Rhinolophus ferrumequinum: one gene and its partner. The protein of the gene in region 2 interacts with the protein of the main gene of each other region in a pairwise test. Links are inferred from orthologs where the notes say so. Each region holds a gene or a part of one and is shown on either strand. Other genes may lie near its edges. The genes, in order: ZNF646 and PRKG1.

Region 1 (12,630 bases), on a different chromosome or scaffold from region 2:
GTGGCTGGCGAACTCGCGGTGGGACTCGAAGGACTTGCCACAGTCCGAGCAGGCAGAAGCCTGGGCAGCTACATGGTTGTGGCAGCGGCTGTCAGGGGCCACAGGACCCAAGGGCTCCTTGGAGCAGAGCAGGCAATAGTGGCAGTCTGTCTCACGGGAGTCGTGGCTCACGGGCCCTTCCGACTGGCGGCAGGAAAAGGGGGGGCTGTCTGGCTGCAGCTGAGGGCTGCTGTCTCCACCGTCCCAGCTATCCACCTGACTCTGACTAGGCTCACTGAGCTGGCTGTTGCCCAAGTGGCAAGGACTTCTGGGGACACTGTCCCCTGACGCGCCTTCTGTCTTGGTTAACACATGACCTGGAGGAACCCAATCTGCTTCCCGACTCACTGGTCCCCCGACTGCTCGCCACCCACCTGCCTGCCCCATGCCCCAGGACACTGGCTCTGTGGCTTCGGGACCTGCTGTCCCGGTGGGGCTGCGACTCTGCCCCCCTGGCCTCCCGGCGCCACACTCCAGGCGGGGTCCCGACCCGGCACCATTCCATCTGCCCTCTAGGTCCTGGTCAGGGGCCCGGCTCCCCTCGCTGCGGCCTCCCTGAGCTCTTCTGGTCTCCTCATGCTGCCGCAGGTGCTCCGGGCCGCTCTGGCCAGGGAAGCCCCGGCCGCAGCGGGCGCCGGGCACAGCTGCCCGCCGGGACCGCCCTGCTCGCCGCCGCTGGCTGGCCGCGTGCAGCCTCTGGTGGTCCCGCAAGGCAACGCGGTTGGAGCAGGTGCTGGGGCGAGCGGGACAGCCGTCGCGGCCCGTGTCCCGGCTGCACCGGTGGTTCAGGAGGCTGCCCGCATGGCGGTAGGTCCGCCCACACTGCACACAGCGGAAGGGCCGCTCCCCCCGCGTCCCTCTCTGGGCGCCCCCGACCCCACCCGGCTCGGCGTGGACCCGCTGGTGGCTCGCCAGCTGCTTCCGCAGGCGGAAGGCCTTCCCACAGTAGCTGCAGCGGAAACGCCGAGGGTCTGCATGGACGCGGACGCACCGGTGGCTCTTGAGGGACACGAGGCTCGAGAAGCCCTTGGAGCAGGCCCGGCAGCAGAAGTGGGCGGCGTGGCGGCTCTGCCGGTGATTGCTGAGGCTGCCGGCGTGCTTGTAGGAGCGGCCGCACACCTCGCAGCTGAACGGCCGCTCGCAGCCCGGGTCGGCGGCCTCCAACTTCAGCCCCAGGTGCTCCTTCTTCACAGCGGTCTCCGCCCACGCCGCCTCCTCCGGGGACTCCACTTTGAGTGCCTCCCGGGGCTTCCCCACTTCTGCCGGCGCCGCCTCCTCGGAGGAGTCCTGGGGCTCCCTGCCGCCTCCCGCCTCGGGGAAGGGGACAGGGACGGGGCCGGGCCCCACCCGGGGCTCGGAGCCTTTGCACAGCGGGTGGTTGCGCAGGTGGTTGCGGTAGGCGGCCAGGTTGGGGTAGCGGCGGGCGCACACCGCGCAGCCGTAGTCGCCGGTCTGGTGGGTCTTGCGATGGTTCACCAGGCTCCCTCCGTGGCGGTAGGTCTTGCCGCACTGGTTGCAGCGGAAGGGGCGGGGCTGCGCCTCCAGGGCACCTTCCCCACCGTGGGCGCAGAGGCGGCTTGCAGACGGGGCACCGACACCCTCGGCAGACGTTGTGTCCCCACCCTCTGCGGAGACGGACGTCCCGGTGCCCTCAGAGAAGCCATCCGTGACCATCTGCCTGGCATCACTGGTCTCTCCCACGGGGCTGGCAGCTCTGTCCGTGGTGTTCCCGGAACTCTGACTGCGGTGGTGACGCTCCAGGCTCCCCAGGTCATCGTAAGTCTGACCGCAGCAGCCACAGATGTGCCCGTACCCGGCTCCGTCCAGCGCCTCCACCTCCCGCTGCAGCTGGTTCAACAGCTCTGCTTCTGAGAGCTGCAGCGGGGCGCTGGGCGTGGAGGGGGCGGCGGCCGCCCCTTCCTCGTCGCCCTCCTCCTCCTCCCCCTCAGTCATGCCGGAGGAGCCATGAGCCTGGCGCCTGTGGAGCCTGTAGCCTGCCCGCCCGGGGAAGATCATGCCGCAGAGGCAGCAGAGGAAAGGCTGTGCTGGGGCCACCTCCCCGGGCCCGTGGTTCTGGAAGTGGCTGCGCAGGGCGGGCAGGGAGTCAAACTCCTTGGGACAGAGGGAGCACTGGTAGATGCCGGGCGGGTGGCAGGGCCTGTGGCTCAGCAGGCCGGTGGCGTGGGGGAAAGAGTGCCCACAGTCAGAACACGTGTGGGCCACCTCAGCCTGACAGCCAGTGACAGCTCTGGCAGAGTGGGCAGAGCAGCTGGGCTGGCCAGGGGCCAGCTTCTGGTCTTCACCCGCCCCCGGGAGGCCATCACAGAAGCGAGGCCCACCGCTTTCCTCGTCACCTGGGATGTCCAAGCTGTCAAGGAAACAGGCCTCCTTCCTCTCCAGCCCTTCCTTAGGGCCTCTGCTCTCCTTATCACCCTGGAAACAGGCCTCGTCCCTCTCCAGCCCACACCTGTCCCTTGCAGCTTGAGCCTGCAAAGAGTCCCCCTCGCTTTCCAAGCTGCCCTCAGCTCCATGAGGACTTTTCCCTGGCAGGTCCTGGGGACAGTCCAGGCCCTCACTGTCTCCCGCCAGCTCCCAGTTCCCAGGGAGCGTGGCGCCTCCGTCACTGCCGGCACTGTCGGCCTGGCCCCGCAGCTGCCTGCCCCGCCGCCGACTGTGGCGACGCAAATGGTTCTTCATGGCAGCCATGGTGTGGAAGTGCTTGGCGCAGGCAGCACAGCTGAAGTCCCCCGTCTGGTGGGTCTGCCTGTGGTTGATGAGGCTGCCTGAGTGGCGATAGCTCTTTCCACAGTCTCGGCAGGCAAATGCCCGGGGAGGTGACAGCCTGGTCTCTGTCCTGCTGCTTTTCCCTTCTCCGAGGGTTTGGCCATGCCGTTCAAGGTTCTCAAGGTCTTCAAAGAGCACCCTGCCCATGCTACATATCTGTGGTGCTGTCCTATTTGCTGCTGGGGGGCCCTCCGTGGACTCCTCTTCGTGTTTGCACCCATCGCCCTGATCTGTACATGGGGCTGCCTTTGCTCCCCCCTGGTCAGCGGGAACCTCCCCCTTGAGGTGGCTGGGGGGACCTTCGGCCCCTGAGCCAGTGCTGAGGCGTGCAGACTTGCAATGGACTCGCACGTGGTTGCGCAGGGCCATCAGGTTGGGATACTTGCGGGGACAGAGCGAGCACTGGTACTCTCCTGTCTGATGGCTGTGGCGGTGGTTCACGAGGCTCCCGCGGTGGCGATAAGCCCGACCACATTCATTACACTTGTAGGGGCGATGGTCCAGGGTGGGGCTGGGGACCTCTGTCTCTTTATGGGTGGTCTCGGCCGGGGGCAGGGAAGCTGGTAGCACTGATGGCCCATCCTCGCCAGCTCCTTGCCGGGGTCTGTGATGAGCCCGCACATGGTTTTTGAGAGCGGCTGCGTTGAACAGCTGCTTGGAACAGATGGAGCAGGGGTAGACACCTGTCTGGTGGCTCTTGCGATGGTTGATGAGGCTCCCGGCATGGCGGTAAGTACGGCCACAGTCCCCGCAGCGGAAAGGTCGATACTCCTCCAGGCCACTGTCCTCCAGGTCCCCAGAAACGCTGAGCTCCTCAGCGCCATTCAACATCGGGGCACTAGGGAGCTGGTCCTGGCTGCTCTCATCTGTGTGCCCGTTGGTGGTGGGTACCCCTTTCTCTTCCCACAGCCGCTCCTGCCTCTCACCCTCATGGGACTGCTGGTGTTCCAGCAGCTCTCGGGGGAGCCGGAAGGCACGGGGGCAGTGAGGACACTGGTAAGGCCGGTACTGGGCATGGAGTCGCGAGTGGTTCTTCAGAGCCATGAGGTTAGAGAACTCCTTGAAGCAGATGGCACAAGGGTAGATGCCGACAGTGTGGCTCTGGCGGTGGTTGGTGAGGCTCCCGGCATGCTTGTACGTCTTGCCGCATTGACTGCACTTGTACCGCCGTTCCTCCTCAGCAGGAAGGGACTGGGGTGGCTCCTGACCCCCCGTGAAATTCACCATTGACTCAGCTAAATACTGTTCCAAATTGCTAAGGAGGCTGCTGGCCGGAGTAGGGAGCGGTGGGGCTCTGGCAGAGTTGGTGGTGGGCCCCCAGCCCTCTGCACCCTCCTCAGAATGTGGCTGGCTTTCCCAGCCTTCCCTTTGTCTGGTGTGTGGATCTTCCCAAGTGCCCAGAGCTGCCTTAGGGTCAGGCTCAGATGCACAGATAGATGTCTCTTCGGTGTGTTTTTTCTGGTTTCCCCAGCTTTCCCCATGGCCAAGCCTCTGGCCCCAGGAGTCAGTGGATACTGTCTCCCCCTGAAGGTGTTGAGTGGCTTCCTTGGGGCGGGGGGGTCTGCGCCTGCGGCGGCCCTCAGGAGCATGAGTCCTCATGTGGCTCTTGAGGGCCATGGGATTGGTGAAGTCCTTGCCACAGGTGGTACAGGGGAAAAGGCCAGTCTCGTGGGTCCGGCGGTGGTTGACCAGGCTCCCTGGGTGGCGGTAGCCCCGCCCACACTGCTGACAGCGGTAGGGCCGAGGGATGCTGTCAGCCTCCTCACTGTCCTGGTTGGAGGATGGATGGAGTAGTTCTCGGTGCCGTGACAGTTCCGGGAGGCTAGGGAAGTGGCGCTGACAGTCACAGCAGCTGAGTGAGGTGGGCGCGTCCTCCATGGGGCAGTGCGACAGAAACCTGGAGGTTTAGGAGGACCAGGCAGGTGGCAGCGGCATCTTCCTCCGGTGTTGGGGCCAAGGCCTAGGAAGATGGGGCAGTGGTCAGAAGAGAGGCCTGAATCAACTTTGCCCTTTGGCTCTGTAAGCAAGTTCACCAGCGGTCACAGAGAGGTTCCCCAAGCAGCGATGCCCAGGGACCGGCTTTCTATGGACTAATCTGGAAGCACCATCAGGTAAGACCTCCCTGCACACAAGCTCCCTAGGCCTACCTCATCCCCACAGGTATAGAAAAGGAAACTTAAGTCTAGAGAGATGTACCCTATCTCTGATCACAAACCTCTTAAGCTGTTCTTCAGACCAAATCCAGAAAGTCTTCCTGCCCCAACCCTCTCCTCTCTACAACCAACCAACCTATCTTCTGTGTCGTCTTAACAGGAAACCCGAACCTTTTCCAGGACTTTCAGTAAGAGATGTCCAATCCTCCCTTCTTCACCCCTCAGCTAAACAGAGTAGCCTCGAGGCGTTGACAAAGCAGCCTCTTTCTCCAGGTGACCTGAGAGGTGACGTCAGGGGCCCCCTTCAGAGAAGGGGCTGGCTTGTTCCCCCACATCCGCATGTGATTCTTTCAGGGTCACAAGGTCTCCTTTTCAAAAGACTCTCTTGGCCACTTCCTCCACCTACTTCCCCTGAACCCAAACTCTATTCCATCATGGAAAATTCAATCCCATTTCTGGTGTCCTTCACCCCTTTTTTCTTTCCCACACCTCCTCACGATACCGTCACCACCCCTTGTCATTTTTTTCTTCTAATACTGAGGATGACAGCAACGCATGTTAGCTGGGCACCACCGTGTGCCCGGCGCTGTGCGAATCGGAGACTATTCATTGTCACTTAATCCTCAAAACACACCGCAAAGCGGGAGGTCCCCGTTTACACAGGAGCAAACCCACTGATTCAGGCAATCGTCTCTCCCAAGCCCTTGCCCTCCCCACAGCACGCCCCGCGCTATCTCTGCCTCTGCTTCTTCACTCCCCTTGGACCCAAACACAACTCCTCCCTCCGACGAAGCCCCTCGCTAAGCCCCTCACGGAACCTGCTCCCCCAGTTCTCACCACACAAAGCCCCTTCGCTCAAGAGTCCTGTCTCCTGATCGACCACCGAGGTCCTCTCGCCTCATTCATCTCCCGGGCCAACTTCCTCTTGGGACCCCTACCTGGCACGAGTGGCCCCTCCTCGTTCCCGCCGCGGGTGCGTCCGTTGGGGACCGCGAACGGGAGCGCGCCTGCGCACTGGGACCCTCACTCTAACTGCAGCCGCGCGCCCCACGGGGTGGCCGTGGGGAGTTCTCGCGCTCCCACACACGCACCCTCCGCCAGAGCTCCCAGGAGGTGGGAGGGGAGGGAAAGAGGGAAAGGAGAAGGGGAATAAGGAAGGAGGCAGAGCAGAGAGGGCGCAGCTGATCCGAGCCAGGGGTCTAACCCCAGCTCCGCGGATACTTCCTATTGTTACTAGGAAACAGGAAGTGTCCTAGCCGCAAAAGCTTCCCCGCGAAACCTCGGTCTGGAGAACACTTCCGGACCCGCCTCCAAGCAGCCCTGCTACACAGACACACTTCCGGCGCTAAGCAAGTAGTAGCTACAATGCGACTCTGGCCCCGCCCACGTAGGTCACAGCGCGGCGTCGTTTCGCACTAACCTCAGCCACATTTCCGGCCAGAGGGGCTCAAGCCGTTCCGGTGCAAAGTGACCGAGTTCGGAAGAGGACAACAAAAACAGGGTTCTGCAGCCGCAGCCTTAGGACTTTGGCGACACTTTTCGTGGGGCTCCCTGAAAATCTTCTCAAGACAGATGGAGGGAGCTTCACGCACGCACTCCTTGCTGTGAAGGGAAATGTGAAATATAAGAGGATTTAGGAACTGCAGTGCTTGAGCATGGCCTTTCTGTATTCCCACCTTCTAGTTCTTGGTGATCTGGCCCCAAGCTAGCAGTAGCCCTGTGTCACTAGGAAGCCTTTTCGGCGTCCCCTGGCCTGAGTCCCCACAGCGACCCCTTGCAAGGTGTTTCTCCGCCACCTTCGGCCGGGGATGCGCTGGTAAACTTTGCCTTCCTCCCCAGCGGGGGGAGCTCCCTTCCACTTCCGTCCCCCGGCCCCGCCTCCCCCACCCGCTGGGTCCTAGCGCCTGCCCCTCCCTGCTAGTGTCCCGGGCTCCGTCGCTGAGCGGAGCTGCCACTGACGCCAAGGAGCCAGCCCAAGTCGGTTCAGGTAGGAAACGCTGCGGGAAGCCGCGGGGACCCCAGCACGCAATCCGATCGGACCTCAGTTTCCCTGTGGGCGCCGAGGGCGAATGGTGTTGGCCTGGCGCGAGCAGCGCGGGCGGGGCGGGAGTGGTGCGGCCCAGGGAGGGAGCGGGCGGGCTCCGGGCCCAGCGGGTCCTAGAACCCGCCGGCTGTCCCCACCGGAGGGCTGCTGCGGATGCCTGGGCTCGGCCCGCGCGGCTGCCCGCCTTGAGCTGTGCGGGCTCGGGGGTCCTAGAGCCCACCATGTTGCAGGCTTTTGTCTTAGGCGCGGGGCCCGCTTAGGTAGGGCCCCGGCGCCTGCGACCCCCCTCCCCGGTCGAGGTCCTCGTCGCCCCTCCCGCGGTCCTAGAGAACGCCATTTGCAGGCCTTTGTCCAGCGCCGGGCCTCGGTCCATTCATTTGTTCATTCTCTCATTCTTCGTTTCCTCCTTGCCACGTTCTCCGAGGCCACTTTTTCCCAGGGCTTATTACGAGATGAGTCAGCCCAGGGCCCTGCCCTGCTAGGCTGTCTGGCGGGAGCGCCGACAGAGAGAAGGTTGCAGGGAGCGAGAAGCGCAGGTTTTCTGCAGCTCTCAGCCTTTCCTCGGCGCTTCTCGGATGCCATAACGCTCTTCAAACTCCCACGTACCCCAGAGGCCCCAATTTATTGATGGGAAAACCGAGGCTCAGAGCGCCGTGGCGCCCTTACTTCTGCTGCCTGTTAAGTATTCCTGAGGGCACTGGGGAAACAGGCATTTGAAGGATGCAAAAGAGTTTTCCCTTGGGGGAGAAGGCAAACAATGGCTTCCGAGGAAGAGGGCACTCACTGCCTGTGGAGATGCATTTAGGTGGGGAAGTTTGAGAATTGTGGCGGGAGGCTTGGGAGGGGGACATTGCTGCTGGAGCCTAGGCTGGAAAAGTAGGTTGTTTACTGACCAGGGTGGAGGCTTAGGAGATGATTGGCTCTAACCTTTGCGCGGTTCACAGTTCCCCATCCACCCTTCCAAATCTGTCAAGGGCTGTGAAGCCTGTGGGTGACTGCTTGTTTAGATGTAGGGAGACTAAGGTGCAGAGAGGATAAAAAGTGGCTCCCTTTTCACCTCACCCCTGTTCGCAGGGCCCGAGCCTAAACTCTCCGGGAATTAAATCTCTGCATCCCTAGATTTAGAGCCTGTTTGGGTACCAGGACTTCATCCCAGTCCTGAGCCAGTAGTGAAGCGCACACCTCCCTCACTAGAGTGACGAACCCAGTGTGGAAAATGGGGTGCTATTTGGACTTGGGAACTTGGACAGGCAGAGAAATTCAGTTAATAGTTGTTGATGGACGTTCTCACAAATGCCTACTGTAGCTCCAGGCCTGGGTTTGTTTTGGGGGCGCCAGTAACAGTTCTAGGGGTAGGGGATCCAGAATAATAAAGGTTACGGACTCCTCACCAGCCTAGACTGTTGTGCTGGAAACAGAGAATTAACAACCAAGCTGTAAAATGGGTAAGTGCTACCGAAGCAATAATCAGGGGGCAGAGAGTGGGAGTCTGGGGGGCAGACCGCCTGACTCTGACTCTCCTGCCTGTGACTGTGACTAGATATTTCGTTTGTGTGGGCCTCAGTACCCTTGTCGGTAACATGGGGGAAATGATGCCGTTTAATTGAGTCTGTTCAGGCTATCAAAACAAAAACCACAGACTGGGGGGCTTAAACACCAGAAATGTATTTCTCACAGTCCTGGAGGTTGGGAAGTCCAAGATCAAGATGCTGGCCAATTCAGTTCCTGGTGAGAGCTCTCTTCCTGGCTTACACAAGGCCACCTTCTCGCTATGTCCTCACGTGTCCTTTCCTTCTTGCACACACACATTCAGCCCATAACACATTTCTAGGCAGTTATGAGGCTTAGCTTAAGCGGTACACGTAAAATTCTTAGGATGATACCGGCCCGTGGTAAACTTGCAAGGAATGTTGTCCAAATGAGCACCGTAAAGGAAATTCAAGGGGTGGGGGGTATAGAGAGTGATCAGCAGGGGTGCAGATGGCATTAAGAAAGGTGTTCAGGAACGCCCTCTGAGGTGACAGGGAGCTGAGAGTGAAATCAAGGAGACAGCTGCACAGATATCCTTGGGGATAGTGGTTCCGGTGGAGGTAAGTGCTAGTGCAAAGACCTTGAAGTGGGAAGGAATTTAGCTCTCAGAGGAAAAGAAAGGGAGCCTAGGAGCCAGGGAAGAGGGGTGGGAAGTGAAATGGGCAGGAGTTAGGTGGTTCAGGGCCTTGTTGACCATGAAAAAGATATTGGTCTTTGTCGTAGGAGCAGTGGAAAGTGTCATGATTTGGCTGGTAAGCCTTAAGTAAATGAAGACTCGTAGACAAAGAGCCCAGCCAGAGATCTGAAGATGTGGGTTTAAGTCTGGGCTCCTTGACCAGCTGTGTGCCCTTGTGCATGTTGTCCCCCTTATGGGGGCTTAATCTCCACACCTGAAAACAAGGTATAGTAAGAACGCTTCTCGCCTAGAAGCTGTGACGATGTATGGGCGTGTCTTTCGTTCTTAAATGCTGAGTGTTGGTTGGAGTGACACAGAGCATGTCCACGGTACAGATTTTGAGTTGTGCCCCTCACTCCCCAGATTGTTATTTTCATATAGGGGGTGCCCAGACCTGATGTGGAGAATTGGGTGGACACGTCCTCAGTCAGGTGTGAAGCGAGGAGCTAATGGTGGGATTTGAGGCAGGGGCCTAGCCTGCCTGGCCCTCTGTTCTGTGGATTGTGTGTGTCGGGGTGGGGGACTGAGGCAGGCTCCAGGCCGAGGGTGCTGACTCTAAAGATGCAGCCCCTGCCACTCACCCCAGGGGCTTCCCTGTCCTCCCGGGGTCATAACTTAGAAGCCACCCATCCCTGGGGCGTACAGATAAGGAAACAGTCTTAGAATAGAGGAGGGATCTCAGGCTTCCTACCTCCCAGCCTCGGCTCTGGGCACACCAGGCTCCCCACTCCCCTTCTCTGTGGCAAAGCCTCAACCCCCCCCCCCAGGCCACCCCCAGCAGCAAAGCTGCCCAGCTCCTTAAGTGGATCTGCCGTAATCCTCTTCCCTTCATCCTCCAGGGAGGATGAGCCGGTGTTAGGACTAATGCAGCTGTTAATCCTATTTCCTTCCAGCCATGATCCCCAGGAACAGCTGTGTGGAGGGTGTCTGGGCTCTGAACCGGGAAAGAAGGGGCCTCCGCTAAAATGGGTGTCCCGGGAGCCAGGCTAGATCAGACACATTGATTATGACTCAGAGGCTTCTAACTGCTAGCAAGCTGCCTTGAGAGTAACTGAACTTTCCATGGTCAGAACTAGAACTATGGGAACAGGAGCCCAACAGCGATTCCAGAGCAGAAGGCAGACCGGGATTCCTGTCTGGGGTGGAGTCCCTCACTTGTGCAGGGCCAGAATTCTGCATGGACAGTTGCTGTGTCTGAAAGCTAACCAACCAGAGGGGAAAATAAAACACATGTGCTGGGGAACTATCACTTCCAGACAGGCGGTGCCAATCACCACCTTAGCCCACTGGTTCTGCTATCTTCCGGACCCACCTCTGTCTTCACTGGGCACTTGGAGACCTTCAGACCAGACCCACAGCTGGGTAGCCTATGTCTGCAGCCCTGCATTCTGGCACAGGCTGACTTGAAGAAAGAAGATATGAGATGGATAGAACCAGTGCCACCAGGTGTGGAAAAGCTCAGAGGCTGGGGAAGGAAGTGAGGTGGCGTTTTGATGACCCCAGACTCCTCCCTTAGCCCCTCTGAAGTCACTGGCTCCGACTCCCTTCATCAGTGAACAGATTAGAGAGGAAAGTTGAGCAGAACATCAGAGCCAGGAAGTGTTAAGGAGAAAGGATGTGGCGGTCCCAAGTGGGACACGCAAATGAAACAGGGTTCCTTGGCAGGCCTCAAGAGGGCATTGGGGAGGGGAGAGGCCTTGGAGAATAGCAGGGGGTGTGGTTTGGAGAATAGCAGAGGGATGTGCTTCTAACTCTGCTTCTCTCGCAGAGAAGCTTTGCCCATCAAGGCCATGGAGGTGGACGCTGTGGAGGCCCGGTCCCAAGGCCCCGGCTATAAGCGCTCCGGCCGGCGTTACAAGTGCCTGTCCTGTACCAAGACGTTTCCAAATGCGCCCAGGGCAGCGCGCCACGCTGCCACTCACGGGCCTGTAGACTGCACAGAGGAGGCGGCAGAGGTGAAGCTGAAGCCAGAGGCAGAACCCAATGCAGAAGATGCCGGCGGGGACAAGGTGTCAGGTGCAGCAGCTAAGCCTCGGCCCTATGCGTGCCCGCTGTGCCCCAAAGCCTACAAAACGGCCCCCGAGCTGCGTAGTCACGGTCGCAGCCACACGGGTGAGAAGCCCTTCCCTTGCCCCGAGTGCGGCCGCCGCTTCATGCAGCCGGTGTGCCTGCGTGTGCACCTGGCCTCGCACGCTGGCGAGCTGCCGTTCCGCTGCACGCACTGCCCCAAGGCCTATGGCGCGCTCTCCAAGCTAAAGATCCACCAACGCGGCCACACCGGCGAGCGGCCCTACGCCTGCGCCGACTGCGGCAAGAGCTTTGCCGACCCGTCAGTGTTCCGCAAGCACCGGCGCACACACGCCGGCCTGCGTCCGTATGGCTGCGAGCGCTGTGGCAAGGCCTATGCAGAGCTCAAGGACCTGCGCAACCACGAGCGGTGAGGGCTCCGTAAGGGGCTGGGAAGAGCAGGCCAGCGGGGTAGAGGCGGGACGGCAGCAGCTCCCCTGTGGGGACCAGTGGGGCCCCTGGTTGGGTCTTAAGGAACGGGATGAGCCAATGGGAAGATGCGTGGGGTGGAACCAGGATTGGTGAGCACGTGGGAGAAGCTGGTGGCCCTGATTGGTTGGTGCGTGGGGCCGCCTGCTGTGGGATGGGGCCTTGGAGGATGGGAGTGCAGTCTGATTGGCCTGAGTTCCTAGGCAGCATGAAAAGGGGCGGGGCTTCAAGTTGGGCTACCTAGAGGGTCTCTGGGGGAGACCAGAAGGCCTGAGTGGGGCCTGCTCTGTCTAGGTCTTTGGGGTGCTGAGAAGGGTCTCTGAGGTGCAGCCCTGTGGCTCTTAGAGGATTGGGCCAATGCTCCCAGGATGTTAGGGGGCCCGAACTGAGCGTACAGAGGGCAGCAGGGGTTGGGTGATGGGCCTGCCACCCTCATGCCGGGTTCCCCACACTCCCGCAGGTCCCACACCGGTGAGCGGCCCTTTCTCTGCTCAGAGTGCGGGAAGAGCTTCTCCCGCTCATCCTCGCTCACCTGCCACCAGCGCATCCATGCAGCGCAGAAGCCCTATCGCTGCCCGGCCTGTGGCAAGGGCTTCACGCAGCTCAGCTCCTACCAGAGCCACGAGCGCACTCACTCCGGCGAGAAGCCCTTCCTGTGCCCGCGCTGCGGCCGCATGTTCTCGGACCCCTCAAGTTTCCGGCGCCACCAGCGAGCGCACGAGGGCGTAAAGCCTTACCGTTGCGAGAAGTGTGGCAAGGACTTCCGGCAGCCTGCGGACTTGGCGATGCATCGGCGGGTGCACACCGGCGACCGGCCGTTTAAATGCCTGCAGTGTGACAAGACGTTCGTGGCCTCCTGGGACCTCAAGCGGCACGCGTTGGTGCACTCAGGCCAGCGGCCCTTCCGC
Region 2 (12,283 bases):
AATCCCTGTAAGGCTCCCACACCCAGAGGAAGCAAGTCTTCACTATACTCTAGTTTGGGTGTCTCCTCTCTACTTCCTCCACAAAAGTACGATCTGACTTACAAATTCCATTCCAGTCATTTTGTCTATTTACTCGCCACAAAGCCCATCATTCCTTCCCAACTGCTTTGCAAACATGGCATAGCTTTAACAATTCTCATCTTATTTTGCCCTGTCCTGTTCCCCACCTTCTACACACACACACCTCTTCCAACTCGACTCTTCTGCTTTTTTTCCATAAAAAAATGCCTATGATTATAAAATCCATTCCGAAACACGACACTTTGGGGAGCATACTATTAGTCCCACCTTTTGTTAAACATCTGTTTTGTGTAGCTACGGTTTTTGTGCCATTGTTTATATGCACATGACAGTTTTGGAGGAAGAACATTCCTGTGCTCTTACAAACAAAATTATACTTAGAGGGTTCACACCGGCTGCACATATTTAACTTCTCAGAAAACAAATCTTCAGGAGATGCTGATGAACGCAGTCATTACAGGAGATGGTGAAAGGAAAGTAGAACGAGTGTCAGGAGGCTGGGTGTGAGGAAGTAGCGACGGGCTGTCAGGGAAGAGGTGGCCAAGAGCACTAGCTCAACAATTCAGATTAGGATTCAAAATGCCACAGATGTGATTGCATAATAAGCTGTTGAGCATGCTGGTAAACGCTGCTTGCAGCATGTGCTTATTTATCATCGTCTTGTGTTCTCCGAGCATGGAAGGTTCAAGTTGGAGGGCCTGAGTGCTAGCAGCAGGCCTGGTTCCCTGAGATGGGCAGCAGCACCTATAGCAGAGATGGCAGAAAGAGCAGCAGCCCCAGTGTTGAAACTGGTTGCTAGGATACCATGGAGACCCTCCATTGCTAGGCAGACAGAAAAAAAATGTTTCCATATGCCTTATAACCTGCAAACGGCAACAATAAAAACATCATCTGCCTTCTTTTACCCTTTCCCATTAGGAATACAAATCCAACTCTTTAGTGAAGTAACAAGTAGCGGGAGTTTGGAAATGTGGCCCAGTAGAGCAAAGAAACTAGCCGGTCATTGACAGTCTCAGGCAGTTTCTAAAGCTACTCTATTTAAGGGCTTGTCAGTATTTTTATTATAAGCCCCCTTTTAGGGGCACACAACTTAACTGTGCTTCAAAACACCCTAGTAGGGTTTCAGCAGTCTGTTCTCATACATTTTTTATAAAGTCTTCCACAAATTCAAATTTACTGCATAGACTGCAATGTCCAATTAACGAGCAAACTGAAATAGGAAAGCATATTACAATAACGTTAAAATTCCTCCACAAAAACAAGAAAGACGAATTTCACAAACTAGCTTCAGGTTCATTTCTCATGTCCCATTTGCCTAGGAATGTGAGGAACCTGCAACGATGCCTGTAGTATAAAATTAGATTATTTTCAATGGGAACATTTTTAAAGTGAGTGGAAAACGGAACGTGCTTTTTTTAAAGAGTGAAACTGGGTTTCTTTAAGAATTTTAATCACCTGCTGCTTAGTTACATCAAATACCCTTACCTAGTTGGAATAGCTGTGGTTATGAATCAGTACTGCGCTGGTGAGGGGTGGAGGATTGGACTGATATTCTGAAATTCAGAGCTTTACTTATGGGTAAAAACTAGTTCTCCGAGTAAAACACACACACACGACTCTTGATTATTCCAAAAACAAGCAGAAATGCCCTCTCACCTACTTTATAAAATAGAAACTAAGATTGTCATTCTCTCAGGCCTAAACTTGCTTTTCCTCAATTCCCACGATGGTGTGGTGTTCTGGGACAGCCACTAGTTGCTGGCATTCCTCAGATGTACCCTCTGCTTTCTTTTGCTGTCTGTCCCTTTGCTGATGGCTTTCCCCATCCCTACCCCACCCCGCTCATCCCATCACTATTAAATTATGGCCATCCTTCAATTATGTATATACTTTAAGCAACTCCAATTCCATAAGAGTTTCTGATACCGCAAAATTAAGTGGGCTCAATCCTATTTTGCCAACCGTCTTAGATATCGCCTCTGTGACTTGCCTTACTCTACTTTCTAGAATATTTACTTGTGCAGTACTGTTAACCACTTGTTAACTCCTTGATGGTAGCACCTATATATCTCTCACCTCTAATGCCTCACAATAGCCTGCACAAGGCAGACATCTCATAAAAGAACTGAGCTGTAGGGTGCATTTTAAACTGAACTGTTGCTTTTGAAGATATCTATGTTTTAATATTATGCCATCTATGCTTACACTAAAATCCTGGAATTCTCTCAACTTCCCACAGAATTTAAATACAGCCTATACAAAGATTCCACTTCTCTTGAGACGTACTAGTGTTAAGGTTTAAAACTTCATATAAGATCTTGTTAAACTGAATGCCTCCTTAAAAATAAGAAACTGTATTTCTTCATCCTCAGCTCTTCCAAAGTACTTCACAATTAAAAAGTGAAACATAACAAAATATGTCAAAATTCCCTGAAATTCAGCTACCTCTGGGGTGAAAAGCAATAGATTAACAAGAATACAGAGACACAAACAACTTTTTATAAGGAACTCAAATCTGTATAGCCAAACTGAAATGACATGGGCCCCTGTGACAGCAAAACGGAAAGGATGTAGGAATATTTACAATAGGTAGAGGGTTTAGATCAAAATATCAGAGTTCCACTCTTAAAAGAAAAATAAAATCAATTTTCAGGAATGAAATGTCATGAAATAAAATTACTTTAAAAGCTCATAAGAAATGTATATATATATATGATCTCTGAAAGGCTATCTGATCTCATAAAATTGATTTTTTTTCACATTTTAAGGGTTTATTTGCTCAATCTACTTCAAAACATATAGCCTAATAGTTTACACCTCACGGAGTTATTTTGTATCAGTGGAATACAGATTTCAATTTGCTACATGAGTTCTTTGCCTCACATTCACAACGAAAAAGGGCTTAGGTGCTATTTGTATACAGGTGTAAAAGCGACGAAAGCATTCTCACACCCCACAGGTGCAACAGAAGGTCCCTAGCCATCTCCTGTAATCTGACTGAGACTTCCCTCTAATTCCCAGCTTAAAGAGAAAATTCCAAACCAAAAATGTTAAGATGATTTAAGTTAATAAGTTAATTTTCATTTTACACTATTTTCCAAATGACCAAAAATCACTGAAAAACAAAAGTTTCAAAAATAATCATCCTCAAAAGGCCTCAGCAAGCAAAAAGTAAACAAATATATTTGCACATATCAGATAATTGAGCAGAATGTTAACTGGAAAGAGAACAGAAAACGTCTAATGGAAAGAGAACAGAAAACTAATATGAATTTGAAATCAATTGTATGCTATTTAGATGGTTTGATTTTAACTTGAACTCCCAATAATCTGAGTGTAAGTTTAAGAAACACGACTAAATTTAAGTTGCACTAAGATGAAATATAATGACAAACACTTGTTGACAGTGTCTGTATGAGGTTGGTGCAAAAGTAACTGCAGTTTAAAAGTTTAAAAATAATTGCAAAAACCACAATTACTTTTGCACCAATCCAATATAATCAATTTTTTATAGTAAAATAAATTGAAATGCAAACGAGGCTTCTCTGGCAAATTTTCCTAATTTTTTGTGGCGCTATCTTGCACAATCCTTCAAGTGACATGAGAATAATAATTTTGCACTTCTCTTTCTCTTAAGAGCGGTACACTCTACCACTTAAGCCAATTTTATTCTAGTTTCCTTTATGTAAGTGTGAAAAAAAGAACAGATGTTTTTCCAAAATTATTTAAGCTTGGAAGACATTCTATCATTTTCTTCAATATAATCTTTCAGAATTACCGAAACCATCATGGTGATACCTTAATAGCTGACTTCTTTAAAGCACAAGCTATTAAATAAATATCAGAATGCAGAGAATTGCTCGACAGATAAAATGTTAATTGTAACAGAATTATATGCCACACTAATTTCATTTTCCACTGTGGACTTTTTAAAAAATCTAGTTGTTCTTCATGTCAAGCACTAAGAGATTTCTAAAACTTCAGGTCCTTCCCTACTTTCTAGATTCCTTTAGATCTTGTCTGATACAACATTTAACTGGAATTATCAGCTGGCTTGATCATACTTTATTATAAAACCTATTAAAATGGTCTTTTTATAAAAGCAGAGTTTGCTCTGTGTTACTCCAAAGTCCTGCAGTTACTAAAGTGAGATCCTGTGGAATGCTTAAAGATCCAGAGAGCTGTCTTTGAGTTATTTTTTTCATTATGCAAAACTTGGCCCAGGAGAGATGGCCATGTACCTCGTTAGCTAAAACAGGCAAGCATGTCAGGACTGCAAATTAATTTAGCAGAGAAAGTTGGAGTGAATATAGAAACCATTCAGGTTTCCAAGGCAGATCTAAGTCTACTGAACTATTAGACAACTTGATGAGGTCAGAATCTCAGAAATGTTTATCCTTCTTGTCTTTTCCCCACTCTCTCACAAAATACGAACCCCTCATTAAGCTAAACCTGCATGACGAACAACAAATGCTCTTCAGGAACCAACAAGTATAGGTACAACTTTAAGTTTTCAAAAGTGGAATTAGTATATACTCTCAAGCTCTCTCAAATCCAATAAGTACAAAATGATATAATCAAGTATTTACTCTCTCTCTCTCCTTATATTAGTTCTTTGTTTTTATGAAGTGAAGGGTTCCAAGGGACCTTGTATGATTATGTAACATGCTATCTAGCCAATGTGATGTAGTTTGGAATAGAGCATCAAAATCCTTCATTTTGCCAATTGTGCCACTATCTGTTAATTTAAAACACCATCCATGTGGGTGCTCATTCTATGTTAATCTCACGTTCCTACCACTTTATATAAGAACTCTGACTTGAGTGGTGTATAACAAGTTTCATTCAATTTTCCCCACCCAAGTTGTGAAGCCCACTGACATCAGAACTACGTAGTTCTCTAAAATGCTAGAACAATACTAGGGTGGTTGCATCAGAAGCAAGGAGTAAGGCAAATAGTGTGTCTACGTTGTCAATAAAGGTAAGTAAGTGTACTTCTCTATATTTGAACCTGAAAACATGAACCCCCTTTGGAGAAGGAGGTGCCCCATGAGTAACCTAATGCAAATTCCTTAAGGAAAATAAGCAATATTCTCCCTCAGATGTTATGGAAAAAGAAAAAAAATTTTTTTTTTAAATCAACAGACTAAGCTTCCATTTGTGGATTGCAAATGCCATCCAATTCAGGAAATCAAAAAAGCTGCCCTCTTATATACACATTTGCTTATTTTTGACACTTTGATGATGACAGAAGATCAGGTTTGAAGGGTACCAGCGTAAACTGCCAGCATGTAGAGAAATCCGGAAGAGCCACCAAAACATAGAAAGTAAGGATGATATCAGACGCATTTCATTTCAAGTCTGATGAGCCGGCATTGAGGGTTTTCCGGCTGGGCAGCTATGCCAAGGCATTTGGGAGATGGGGCTTTTTATTCAGCTTCTCACACTCACTCATACACACACAGCCGGACACACACCTGGGGCACATTCAAACTCTATAATCAGTAGTTGGCATATATGAATGTACATGTACAGATTTTTTTTAAAAAATAGCTTGATATCTGACAAAGACATGAAGGCAACGTAGGTGCAGGGAGTCTGGCTCTAGAAACGTGCACGGCCCCGCAAGTGGTGCCAGAAATGAAACATTTCTGAGGATGAGGACAGAGAAGGCAAGCGGGAGGGGCGGGGGCCGACAGACAACACAGACACCCGCCGCTCCCCACCAACAGGGTGCCACATGGCCCCGGCACGCAACCCCGGCTTACTGCGGGCTCTTGGGGTAGAAGGGCAGGGTCACATGGCTGAGATCCTGGATGTCGAACGCGGTGGGCTCCGCGGAGATCGCCTGCCGCTTGGTGCGCGGCTCTCCCTGCAAGGTGCTGGCGCTCTGCTTCTGCGCCTGCTGGGTGGCGGGCCGGATTACCGAGCGGTACTTGTCCAGCTCGTTCTGCAGCTTCTGGATCAGTTCGTCCTTCTGATCCAACTCCAGCTCCAGCTCGTCGATGAGGGCATCGCGCTGCCTCAGCTCCTCGATCTTCTCCTGGAGCGCGTACTGCAAATCCCGCAGGGTGCCCATGCTCCTCCGGGCTGCCGGGGGCTCCTTCCTGCCGCTGCTGCGCGTCTTGGGGCTTCCTCCCCTCTCCGATCAACTTTCCCCAAAGTCGCCGCTGCCTCCCGAGTGCAAAAGCTTCCTACTTGAGACCAAAGCCAGCCCTGGCTTCTGAGCATGCCCAGTCCGCCGGCTCCAGCCACGGAGAGTTTCAGTGCAGATTCCACTTCTTGGGGCTGACGGAGAGGCTGAGTGTGGGGATGAGCAAAGCAGCAGGTCCAACCCGGGATTAAACCTGACACACGGTGGGCGCCGCAGCGCGGGGGAGAGCAGCAGGCAGCGCGCTGGCAGGGAAGCGGGAGAAGGGGACGTGAATGAGGCTCCCAGGCGGTGGTTGGTCTGCTCGGGTCGCTCGTGCCGGGCGCCAGAGGAAGCCAGCGGTGCGTGTGGGGAGCCTGATAACCCTGTGGGGCGCGCCAGGGGACGAGCAGGCGGAGCGAGGCAGGAGCACCACTTTGGGGGTGGGGAGGTGAGAGAAAGGACAGCCAGGACCCTGTGCAAACTGGGGAGGTGTCAGCCGGCTCCAGAGCTGACCGGTCTGGAGGACAACGGGCTACAATCCTGGCGATTTAAGCGGGCAGAACGCACTCTGCATCCTAAACGCTCTGGGTTCTGGAGGTATTTGGACCGCCAGCCTCAGCAAGAAAGGCTCCCGAGCGATGTGGCTGAGCTCTCCCTTCACCCAAGCCACCTTTCCCACCGGCAGTGCAGCACACAGGTGGCTAACGCTGCAAAGAAACTTGCCTCTCAGGAGATAAGAGCCAATCCATGCCTGGGAGGGATTCCCCCTAACACCCAGGTGCCTTTGGGGAAGGGAGGTTGGAGGGTGGGACGTTTGACCTTTTCTCCCTCAGCATTGCCACTCTCTGCCCGCTCATGACTCCCCTTTCACCTCTCACCCCTCAAAACTTATGTTAATGAACTCTTTTTAGGGTACAGGCCAAAATGGGTTTGGACCCTAAAGACTACTCAGCTTCTCCACTATCCTGAGCTAGTGTCTGCAGAATTGTTCATAGATGGGCATTGCTACTTCCCTTTGCTTAATTTGGGGTGGGGGGGTTGGGGGGGAATCATTACTGAGCTTCAAAAAGTTCATCCTAAAATTGAACTATACCTTTAAAAATATTACTGCCCTGACAACCAAAGTGTTAGGACTGTACCCTTCCACTTGAATGGCAAGACTCAAACTTTGAAAAAGAGGGAAGATCATAAAGAGAAGGGGGACCCAAGTTGGGCTGCAATAAATCGTACACTATAGCACCCCACTCCATGCCTGCCCACTCAAAATTTCCAACAACGATGACTATGAGGTAGCATCCTTTTTTTCCAAGGGTAATTCTGCCATCATTGGAAGACATGTTTAGAATCTCCAAATATTTACTTTATACTTAACTAAATTCCTAATATTTATCTAAATCTTTACCAACTCATCCCATTTTATAGTATGTTTATTAGCAGCCCTCTAATTACTATTCATGGACACTCAGTATTATAAACCTCAATGCTGAATTTGGCAATTCCCTGAAACTAAACAAAGTAGATAGACAATAGTTTAAAACTGAATTGGAATCCAGAACTATTCACTGGAATCTAAACTTAGCCAAGGACGTATATTAGTCTCAAAACAAACTTGCTCACTTTTACTTTTGAATACAAAACTTTCCTATCTAAGCTGAAAAAGAAAAAAACAAAGGAAAGAAGGAAAGAAGGAAGGAAGAACAGAAGGAAGGAAGGAAGAAAAAGGAATGAAGAAGGAAGGAAGGGGAAGGGAAGGGAAGGGAAGGGAAAGGAAGGGAAGGGAAGGGAAGGGAAGGGAAGGGAAGACCAGCTAGCCACAGGCAAGGTAGCAAGCTTTTTTATTTAAAGTGTATTTGTTTGGAATTAGAGGTGTAAATGACAAAGGATATATAATCTTAAACATTCTTCCATGCAGATTATGATCTAATTTTCTCAACACAGATGACTTAAGACACTTAATTTTTCTGCTTTCCAACATGGACATGTAATATACAAAGTGGATAATTCTCAAAACATTTTCATTTGTGATGAACAAAACATGAATAACTTATAAATACTGATAGCAGGAAATGATAGCTCTGAATTATTGTTGTCTTAATTAAAACTAAACCAAGCAGAAGTTCTGTGGCTTTGTATAAGTGACACTATTCTAAAAGAGCTCCTGTGATATTTTCCCTTTCCCAGGCAAAAGGCCAAATTCTTATCTTTTTAACCTATGGGAATTCTTTAATTCCATGGGAAAATGTTTAAAACTAAATGATTTTTTTTCTATTGATCTATTATAGGGTTCCAGGAGGCCAAGAGTTTATGTCTAAAAATACATCAAAAGCAATGTATAAGGAATATCATTAGATAACTGCTAAGCAGGGTTATATTTGAAGTTTCATTTGAGGACTAAATGGGGTTACTTAATGTCTTCAAGCAGCACAAAGTAGAGGATATTCTTTCTCATTTGTAGAAAGACTGTATACATGTACAAAGGAAAATAGAAACTAAAGCATTTCCCCCTCCCCCACATAAAAAAATTGCACTTCAACCAAAAAATATTCGGGTATTTTTTAACAAAAGCGATGTTTTTTTACACTGAATTATATAAATATTTTTCACTATTTAAGCTATCACATCTAGATACAATTATAGGATATATACTCGTACATGTTACATTTTCATTTTAAATGGAAGTCTTGTGATACAAAATATTCCACGATGAATCCCATATTAAAAGTCAAGAATCTGTTTTAATAAGTGCAAACAAAGTAAATGACCAAGAAGATACAACTATTACAACTGACTTACACTTTGAAAGGTGTTCAAGGTATAAAAATATATTTGGTTATATTAGCCTATATAATTTAAGAATAATTTAATTGTATCTTTATAATACTTTAAATACTTTATAGTTATATATGCAAAATCAAAATTCTAGGCTTTCCTCTTACGTTCTTAAAGTCGAAATAAATATTTTATGTACGTTTTTCAATGATGTTCTTAACTGGCTGATTAGATCTTGATTTTTCCATCTCACCTTTTGAGTGATTCCAATATTTTCTTAAACATTTTTTGCATTGTACTTGGTAAATGCTCAGAATAAATTTTATGTGAAAAATCAAGGTCCTGCAGACAAATTTTACTGTATGTCTTATAGTTAATGTAGTTGGCTAAATTTTTAAGATCAAAGATCAGGCACAAGTCTATTTTCTACTCATTAAGAAGTAGCTACCATAAATCTGGAAAGGAGTAAAGTGGAATGACATATACTGAGTTCTCTCACTGCCTATTTGGGATGACATCTTGATGATACATGCTAAAACAGAGAACAATGCAAATTTGAAGGAACCCAATTTATACTCTAGAATTCCATAGTCCACTCACAATCGACTTTTCAGCAATCTGTTTGTAATAGCTCTAATAGAAGCAAAGCTTCTCCAGTAGCCAAACCAACCTGTGGCATATTATTACTCTTCAATTTTGTATCCAACCCTCATGAATGTGGATTAGTATTATGCCTTCCTTAATAAACCTCAGAATTATTGAATAAAATATTAAATAACGCAGTTATTTAATACTTTCTTGAACTCTTAATGCATAGCTAACATTGTTCATGGAACTCTACAAGTTAGACATTATCATTATTTCCATTTATATTTGAGAAAATGGAGGCGCAAAATCACCCATCTAATAAATGGTAGAGCCTGGACTCAAATCCAGATCACTTAATACACAGCTCAGTCCCTTACCCCCACCTTTCCCCCACCTTTCATTTCCTTCTGCAGAACTTCCAACTGTTGCTGCTGTCTTGGTTCTGAATCCAAAGAAATGAGTGTTCTTAGCACTAACTAGCCTGACTGTGGGGCTGGGGAGGTGGAAAGAGGAGTCACTTAGAAAATCCTGCAAAAGCAGGAAACAGATTTTCAAAAAGTTCTTTTTCCCAACACTGTCTTCACTCCTGTGCCATTTCATCCTGGTTCAGGATGACCAACTTCTATCAATTTGTCTGGGATTGTCCTAGTTTTAATACTAAAATTGCTTGGGACTGTCCTGATTTTCAAACTAAAGCGCTAAGTATCCCTTGGTCCTGGGCAAACCAGGATGGCTGATCACCCTAATGAATTCAGGATTGCTGAGCCTCTGTATTTTATGCATATTTTCAAATCTTGCTTTCAAAGTTACTGATAGAAAAGTAAAACCAAGGAAGATCCATTGCAATAATACCTATTATTTTAGGCACATTACTAATTCATGTATGTAATTGTATAAATATGTTTTAGGAAAGCAATCATCCTATTCCAACGTCTACTAATACACCACAGAAATTGTCTTTGGACTATAAAGGAGAATGAATCAGACAATAGAATTTTAATTACACTTTGATGAATTAGACAAGGATTTAAGCCTCTGTTTTCTTTTATTGTTATTATAGAAATCTGGAGTTTAGAAAGACTGGTTTCCTACGGATTAAGCACAGCATTATAAGCACCTATTCACTTATCTCCTATAGAATTATATAATTCTTACGCCTGTGTAGGCCGATAGAGTCAGCCATCAGGAATGCATATTTAAATGCATATAAGTAAAAATTCTATGGTTGGGTTGTTTTGAAGTTCTGCTATTGAGAATGACACATTCTGTACGGAAAAGAAAAAAAAAACCATAAACCATTAATGATGAAAAACTTACTGCAGAGACTTGGAAAGTAATAGTGCATTGTACCATAATTGCTAATGTGCTTAGAGTTTAATACCAAATTACCGTCATGCCTAATATTAGTTGAAATGAATTCTTATAGTCCACAACTTAAAACGATGCTAAGTCATTATTGGGCCTTAGCCTAACTTAGTGCTCAAACAATCTGTGCACTAGCTAACAAAAAGACTATTTCTTTGTACTGTTAGTAAGCTGCCCATTTCCAAAGACCACAAGAAATAAAAGATTTTTAAGAAGAAAAATATTAGGTATTCTGTATTGTTTTCATGAATGGACAAATTTTAAATGCATAAAATGGAATTTAAAATGCTTTTTCACAAAACATCTTACTGCATTCTTTTAATGTCACCTTATTTCACGATCTTTTTTAAATTAAATTTATTGCGGTGACATTGGTTAGTAAAATTGCATAGGTTTCAAGTGTATTTTTATAATACATCATCTTTATACTGTATTGTGTTCACTACCCAAAGTCAATTCTCCTTCCATAACCTTATATTTGACCCCCTTTACCTTCTACCACTCCCCACCCCTTACCCTCTGGTATCTTACCGCGTCTTAAACCTAATGAATATATACATGGGTATGTAACATCATAATACCTCATATCTGATAAACAAATTACAGTTTCGCAGTTCCAACTCAGTATTCTTCTGGTATTTAAATGCACATTATTTCCTAAGTTAATGGATTAGTATTTTCCCAAAAATATTAAAAAACATTTGCAAATATAATTTTGCTTTTGAAAATAGATTTGATATGAAGGCAATAGGAGAATAGTTTTGGAGTCAATGATACTTTGTTTTTGCTTTCATTTTAGATAGCTTTTAATAGTTGATATAACTTGCCATCTTCCTCCTACATAATCAAAATTGAAAGTACATTTTGCTCGTGACCTTACTAAAATTAGTAAGGTGGGAAAGTACTGAGGATGTAAGAAGGACAATAAAATGAAATTTTGAGTGAATTGGATTTTTTTCAGTAAGCAAGATGAATGAATTGGGCAAGAGAAAATGGTAAGACATTTGTTTATACTGCAAGAATTTCAGAGACTTGGAGGAGAGAAGAAGTTGCAGGCAAAAAGACTTGGTAGGGAAATACACATAGATCTTCACACTTACTAACTTAATGGACAAATATCACCTAACTTCAAATTAAGTTAGCTATTGATATTGTGACTTTTATACAATCCTCAGGAGATCAAAATCTAGAAATCCATCTCTAATTATAGGCAAATGACCAGTAGGCTGGTAAAAGAAATGGATGTCATTCTAGGGCCAAGATATGGGGCCTGCTGTTTATGAAAGCATTACCCTTGGAACAATGATAGAGCCTTAGCTGGGACCTATGAGATGCATATATAATATT

Evidence for each region.
Region 1: the proteins of PRKG1 (region 2) and ZNF646 interact in binary tests that used the Homo sapiens proteins (3 or more experiments, as listed by UniProt). The two-hybrid records come from large-scale screens. The link is inferred for Rhinolophus ferrumequinum from reciprocal best matches to the Homo sapiens genes PRKG1 and ZNF646.

The regions. Positions count from the first base shown.
Region 1 is NW_022680357.1:304,679-317,308, forward strand, and holds the start of ZNF646 (zinc finger protein 646), read right to left. Parts: upstream 6,534-12,630; 5' UTR 6,397-6,533; intron 6,205-6,396; exon of another isoform or gene 5,915-6,204; intron 4,784-5,914; 5' UTR 4,702-4,783; coding exon 1-4,701. Other genes in the region: ZNF668 (zinc finger protein 668), read left to right, coding at 10,650-10,672, 10,995-11,663, 12,183-12,630. UniProt on the Homo sapiens protein: May be involved in transcriptional regulation.
Region 2 is NC_046299.1:34,129,551-34,141,833, reverse strand, and holds the start of PRKG1 (cGMP-dependent protein kinase 1), read right to left. Parts: upstream 6,598-12,283; 5' UTR 6,161-6,597; coding exon 5,850-6,160; intron 1-5,849. UniProt on the Homo sapiens protein: Serine/threonine protein kinase that acts as a key mediator of the nitric oxide (NO)/cGMP signaling pathway. GMP binding activates PRKG1, which phosphorylates serines and threonines on many cellular proteins.